Xenopus tropicalis: one gene and its partner. The protein of the gene in region 2 interacts with the protein of the main gene of each other region in a biochemical or structural test. Links are inferred from orthologs where the notes say so. Each region holds a gene or a part of one and is shown on either strand. Other genes may lie near its edges.

Region 1 (3,661 bases), on a different chromosome or scaffold from region 2:
AGCAACCACTAAGTTACTGTACCACTTACTTACTCTGGCTCGTTGTGCAGATGGATGTTCAGATGTTGCGCGCACCCACTCTCCTACCCTCCTCCCTGTGGACGGACGTGTGTCCGTGCATACCTGCCGACTCTGACTCTGGATGTACAGATGTAACGCTCATTGTGCACATGGATGTGCTGACTCTGGCATTCAACGAGCCAGAGTCAGCACATCCATATACTCGAGTATAAGCCGAGGGTTACCTTTTCAGAACATTTTTAGTGCTGAAATAGGAAGTTTTATTAATTGTAATAGTACAGCAGTAATATATTTGGGGACTTGCCAAAACTGCAAAAACAATGTGGGGTGTTCAATGCGAGCCCTGAAAGACAAAGTTAGAGAACACATTGGTCAAATTTGTAATAAGTTATGCATTCAAGAGCAATGTCACTAGACATTGCAGAGTGCAATAATAGCGATAAATTTCGGTACAGGTGATGGAACTGGTAAAAAGGCAGGAGAGGAGGAGATACCCTTACCCTTCTCCATAAGCGAAGTATATTGGATCTTTTATTTAACACACATGGTTTGAATTTTACTTTTGATGTTACTTGCTTTTTGTGAAAAAATATTATTCTGAAACATATGTATTTTTACTATATAGCCCTGTGATATGTATTTTCTAATCCTGTGTGTGTAAATGCGTTATCCCTTGCATAACTGACTTATTATGTGGTTCACTGTGTAGATATGCATTTGGCTTCCATAAGGGAAGTAAAATGGTGACCAATATTGCAGTACACTAAATGCATTTGTTTATAAATGGCATTCCTTGTAAAGCAAGTGCTGCAGCATGTACTCATGCACGGAGTTGAACAGGAAACGAAAATGCTAGCTAAGGATGAGGACTTCAAGGCATCAACCACTTCTTTCCAAAATCAGATCTGCAGAGATGACTTTCTCTAAATATGTAGTGCTTTGCAAATAACTTTTGGATATTGTTTCCTTGCAGACTTTGAGAGTTTTGATATTCCAGAAGACCATAAACTCAGTCACTTTTGCTTAGCAGGTGTGTCACTCCTGGTTCAGGATAATGAAGTTGTAAGGTTTGATGCCTTAACAAATATTCAGCTGTGTCCATTAGAGATGCCATTATTTAACACGGATTCAGGTCAGTTTATAGCGAGGTCTTTGGCATTTTGTGATCTATGCTTGATCAGACTTCTGAAACTAGTCGGTGAAAGGGGAAATGGCTCTTTGAAGTTCATAAACATTGTTTAATCTTTTCTAACATTCAATATTCTGGAATGGTTATGTGGAAGCTGGGTCCATTAGTCATTGTCCCACTGGTCTTCACTTTAACGGTTCGGTGCTGGGTGTATTAATCAGGAGTAAAGAGTATACAGTAGGTGTAAAGAGAAACTAATGGCTAATCATCCGAATCAATTGTTTGATGTCTTAGAACCCAACCCCCCACAATAACATACCTTAGACTCTGCATTCAGTCTGATCTGGTTTCTAAATTATAAATCTCCAGCCTCTCCTTTCATCTACTTCCTGGTACAGTGCAAGGCCTGCCCCCTCCTGCTGAGTGCTCATCTCTTTGACTACATAATAGTTAAGACTACATAATACTTAATAGAAAGCCTTCTGGGCATGCCTGACTGAGAAGAAGCTTTGCACACTTGCTCCTGCTCCACTGTGCAGCAGTGTGTCTTTTTTTTTTTTTTTTTGTTCTGTTTTCACTGATGTCTGACACTGAATACACATAAATGCGAAAGTGCTTCACAAATGGTCTGTGTAACCAAATCACAATTCATATTTGTTGAAAACCTCATAGCAGCATTCTGTTAAGATACCTATAAATTGTTCTAAAAATGTGCAATTTGACAGTGTAGTGAGTTCAACACCACAGTTGAATCAATTAAAGGTGCAAGCAATCGAAAACAATAAAAGGAATCTTAATTAATGTGATTTAATCCCATTCTAAAACATTGATTTTACCACTATCAGCAAATATTAAAAGCTTGTGATTATATATTTCAATAGTACTATAGTGCAGAACTTAGTGTTTAAAAGAATCCAAAGTCAACTTATGCTGCAAGTTTTCAACAATCTGTGCTCGTGCATAATTTTTTTAGAACTGGATTAAATCACTGTTAATGGATTGTGCTTGCACTTGCATCTTTGATTCAACTGTGGTGGGTAACTATAAAGGTCCCCATACACGAGCCGACTATAGCTGCCGATATCGGTCCCTTGGACCGATTTCGGCAGCTAATCGGCCCATGTATGGGCACAACAGAGCTGCCTGGCCGACTGATATCTGGCCTGAAATTGGCCAGATCTCGATCGGCCAGGTTAGAAAATCCGGTTGGATCGGGGACCGCATCGGCTCGTTGATGCGGTCCCCGAACCGACTGCCCCATAAGCTCAAATGTAATCCGATCGTTTGGCCCCAGGGCCAAATGATCGGATTTTTTTTTTTTAAGTCCCTTGCTACCCAATATCACCCACCCGTAGGTGGGGATATCGGGTGAAGATCCGCTCGCTTGGCGACATCGCCAAGCGAGCAGGTCTTATAGTGTATGGGCACCTTTACTCACTGAACGGTCATATTGCAATTTTTTTTGTACATTTTAGAACAATTTAGGTATCTTCAAACGGGGAATGCTGGTATGAGACTTTCAACAGATATGAATTGTGATTTATATAGGGATGCACCGAATCCAGGGTTCAGGATTTGGCCAAGATTCAGTTTTTTTGTTTTTTGCAGGATTCGGATTCAGCCGAATCCATGCTCCTGGCCGAACCGAATCCGTTTATGTGACAAAGTTGAGTGGTTTTGAAAATGTAACCCTTCCATAACCTAATAGCATATGCTAATTAGGATTCTGTTTGGTATTTGATCGACTCCTTTACAAGGGATTCTGGGTTTGGCCAAATCCAAAAAAGTGTATTTGGTGCATCCCTGGATTTAGGTACATTGGCTTTCAGCTTGTGAAGCACTTTCATAAGTACATGTTTTGTTTGTTTTCAGTGAGTTATGCAGTCAAGGTGCTGGAGATTTGAACTAAGGGATTTTATTCTGCGGGTTTTTTTAAAGAGGGAAAAAAATGTACTATAACAAACCCCTTAATAGCTGATCAGCTATTATCCTGGCTTCTGCTTTAAACCCAGTGGGTGAGCTTTAGCCTGTAGGACAAGCCCATGTAAATGGGACTTTTCTAGGAGCCTTAAGGAATTTCTTCCCAGAATTCTGTTATGACTTAAAGGAACAGTAACACCAAAATTTATTGTTTCAAATATCCCTTCTAGACACTTTATTTAACACATACCATATAGAAACTGCAATATTATAACTAGGCATAGAATAAATAACATTACCAGTGATGCATAGGACATAGTGAAAACGGCAATACGGCGGCTGCTTGACTTCCGCTTTAAACCAGAAGTTAATTTCCCCGCTTCGCTTTCAGAATCTGTCTTGCCAGTGATTAATGGCTTTATTTTCTTGCTGGATCAGGGAGAGGGAAGGGTGACGGAGGACTTATCTCCTGCTGTGTTTTGTAGCCTGTGTGATCTGAGCACTCTGGCTGAGCTTGCACAGGGAGGGGGAGGAGGGGGGAGCTGCCCAGAAAGACATCAGTTGGAAGAGACCTGCTGCCTGAGTCTGGTA
Region 2 (3,761 bases):
GGACAGCTAGACCCATTTATTCAGCAACATAAAGATCAAAACCTTCTGGCAACTACAATTCCTTAGCAGGTCCCACAGTCAGTGCAACATACAGAACAACATGAGCAAACAGAGTAACATGTGGTCCAGTTGGTGGTTCTCCTTCTAGATCTGGCCAGTCCTTTATTCCATAGGCAGAAGGAAGAGTCGCTGGCATGTTCTCAAAGTCATTCTATCACTCAAATCTAACTACACCAGCTTTTCTACTAACCCTCTTGCACAAGCCTTCATCCCATGTAAGAAGAGACGTAGTTTCCATAAACTCTTGCCTCCCATCCCTACAGTTCCCAAACAATCATGATCCCTACCCTTGCAGTTCCTACTGCTTGCTATACCATGTATGCCGGTTTCCTTTTGCTTGGTATCATTCTACGCTTTGCCTACATTTATGCCTGCCCAAAGTTGTCAGGGAATGTATCTTGCCCACACCTGCTTTCTACTCCTACAAAGGCTAGTGCATGCCAAGTTCCATAACTTCATTCTGCCCATTTATGCCATTGTATCCCACTTAATTATGTCTCAATGCTAGTGTGCAAAGTCTCTTTTCCCTCACCCAAACCAGTCTATGCCTTTTATTCACGTGTCCACTCTCTCCAATTAATGCCAATCCATGCCTCATATCACTCGTCGTGTCCCCTTTCTCCATCTGACAATTTTATACCTTGCCTAAAAATTCCTCTCTCTATATCAGGGGGCTCAAACTCAATTTACCTGGGGGCCGCAGGAGGCAAAGTCAGGATGAGGCTGGGCCGCATAAGGGATTTCACAAAATGCAAGCCTTCATGGACTTTTTTATCGGATAATGCAAGGCACGGCGGGCGGGAGCTGCTGATTGCGGAAATGACGTTATGCCATCATAACAGTTATTATGGGAAGACGTTCTGTGTGCACAATTAGCTGCTAACTAAGGAGCTAATTGTGCACACAGAACGTCTTCCCATAATAACTGTTATGATGGCATAACGTCATTTCCGCAATCAGCAGCTCCCGCCCGCCGTGCCTTGCATTATCCCTTGAATCGCAATAAAAATCATGATCCATTCATTGCTTTTGCGAAGGCATTGGTGTGGGCCACAAAATATTGTACCGAGGGCCGCAAATGGCCCGCGGGCCGCGAGTTTGAGACCCCTGCTCTATATACAACTATCGACGCTTGTCAATGTTTCAATTTTCCCTCATTGAGGTGTCGCATCATGACAGAGTTCTCTCTGGTCATATCATACTTTGGCCATGCAACCATTCTCTCCCCTCCTCTCCTCTTGCCCCATTTATGGCACTGTGTGTCTGCCTCTTTTTTTCCCTCTTACTATAACATGCAGTGCCCAGGCCTACTTATCTCCCAATGTATGCTTAATGCCAGTGTTCTCTCTTGTTATAACAAGCCTTGCCTATCTCTTCTATATACTTTGCATTTATGCCAGGGTGCCTCTTCCCATTCATGCCACTGCATAGCTTATACTAGTATGCCCTTTTTCCTCTCATCATAATATACCTTGCCCAGGTCTCCCCATTTATGCCAGTGAGCCTATTCCCATTCACGCTACTACGTAGCATATACTAGTATGCCCTTTTTCCTCTCATCATAATATACCTTGCCCAGGTCTCCCCATTTATGCCAGTGTGCCTATTCCCATTCATGCCACTACGTAGCATATACTAGTATGCCCTTTTTCCTCTCATCATAATATACCTTGCCCAGGTCTCCCCATTTATGCCAGTGTGCCTATTCCCATTCATGCCACTGTATAGCTTATACTAGTATGCCCTTTTTCCTCTCATCATAATATACCTTGCCCAGGTCTCCCCATTTATGCCAGTGTGCCTCTTCCCATTCATGCCACTGTATAGCTTATACTAGTATGCCCTTTTTCCTCTCATCATAATATACCTTGCCCAGGTCTCCCCATTTATGCCAGTGTGCCTCTTCCCATTCATGCCACTGCGTAGCTTATACTAGTATGCCCTTTTTCCTCTCATCATAATATACCTTGCCCAGGTCTCCTGTGTCTCCCCATTTATGGCAATGTGCCTCTTCCCAATGTCTCCTTTTCGAACCCATTTAGGCCAGTGTTCCCTTTTTACATGTCACCATTTTAGGCTGTGCCAGTGTTTGTCCCCATGTGTGCCAGTGTTTGCCCATGTCATACTATTGGTCTATTTATGGCAACCTAGTCATGTCTCCCTCTATGCCTACTGTTTCTTTATGCATTTGCCCCTTATTATGTGCCACAACATTCTGCCAGTCAGATTTCCTCAATGCAGTTTTTCTGCACCGCCCATTATATCTACAACCCTCATCCCGGGGCCCTTGCCTACCTCTATTACCCCTGCCCATGCCACCTAAATGCCCGGCTATCCCTTCATCTGTCTAGAATTCCATTCCCTCCCCCTTCTAGGCCTTAGGCCTCAGTGTTGAGCAGTCAGACGTGCCGGGTGCGCGCATACCTGGACGGGTTCCTGCAGTACTGTCATCCTCCGGCCTTACTGCGGCCTCCCGTCTAGGTCTCTCTCCCGCTGTCGGGACCGCTCTCCCCAGCTACTCTCAAGACGTCAGACAGGCGGCTCCGGCTCATTTAAACTCACAGCGACCGTTACCGGGGAGGCCGCCGGAGATTGCCGAATAGAAGCGTAAACCGCCGAACGTTTGCGGAGAATGCCGAGCCCCTACGAATCCACAGTAGAATCGAAGGAACCAGCCGAACCTTTCCGAAGAAAGACGAATTCAAAACTCTCAATTCATTGAGTCGGAGCAGGCGCCATCTGGCGGTAAGAAAGGAGAGCTCATCCTGCTGATTGTTTTTCCCGGGGGTTAAATGAATAAAAATTTTATTGTTTGTGATAAATCTCTAGTTATGTTAGAAAATCACTTTTGCATTTGCTTTGTAGCGTTTGTCTGTACAGTGTTAAGCTTGCAGGGAGTAACACAGCATGGGTAGGAGTACAGTGGGCAATGTTCTCATACCGAGGCAGTCATTATAGCTGTTTTTTATTCTTGGTATGGTGCCTGCCCGGCAAGCAGTAGGAACAAGTATTAGCTGAAACACCTAATCATAACACTTCTGTCTAATACTGCCAAGCATGGGTGGGTTTTAAGGGCTTTTACAAGCATTTCTGTATGAGTTCCACCTGCGTTTGGTGGTTCCAAGCAGCGCAAAACAAGCATACAGTAAAACATAGACTCATGCATTCCCTTGTGGTCGAACACCACGAAAGAGCCACCACAGTGGAACGCATGACAAACCCCTTGTGTGCAAGAGCCCTAGTGAATGGGCTGGTTCACCATTAAGTTACATTTTAATATGTTATAGAATGTCCTGTTCATAGCAACTTTGCAGTTGGTCTTCATTACATAGTAACATAGTAAGTTAGGTTGAAAAAAGACATACGTCCATCACGTTCAACCATAATGCCTATATATAACCTGCCTAACTTCTAGTTGATCCAGAGGAAGGCAAAAAAAAACATCTGAAGCCTCTCTAATTTGCCGCAGAGGTGAAAAAATTCCTTACTGACTCCAAGATGGCAATCGGACCAGTCCCTGGATCAACTTGTACTGAGAGCTATCTCCCATAACCCTGTATTCCCTCACTTGTACTGAGAGCTATCTCCCCTACCCCTGTATTCCCTCACTTGTACTGAGAGCTATCTCCCCTACCCCTGTATTCCCTCACTTGTACTGAGAGCTATCTCCCCTACCCCTGTATTCCCTCACTTGTACTGAG

Evidence for each region.
Region 1: the proteins of cdc27 (region 2) and securin form a complex in vitro, tested with the Homo sapiens proteins (3 studies listed by BioGRID). The link is inferred for Xenopus tropicalis from reciprocal best matches to the Homo sapiens genes CDC27 and PTTG1.

What each region holds. Positions count from the first base shown.
Region 1 is NC_030680.2:46,734,329-46,737,989, reverse strand, and holds part of securin, read left to right. Parts: intron 1-994; coding exon 995-1,153; intron 1,154-3,661. UniProt on the Homo sapiens protein: Regulatory protein, which plays a central role in chromosome stability, in the p53/TP53 pathway, and DNA repair. Probably acts by blocking the action of key proteins.
Region 2 is NC_030686.2:17,336,845-17,340,605, forward strand, and holds the start of cdc27 (cell division cycle protein 27 homolog), read right to left. Parts: upstream 2,640-3,761; 5' UTR 2,512-2,639; coding exon 2,485-2,511; intron 1-2,484. UniProt on the Homo sapiens protein: Component of the anaphase promoting complex/cyclosome (APC/C), a cell cycle-regulated E3 ubiquitin ligase that controls progression through mitosis and the G1 phase of the cell cycle.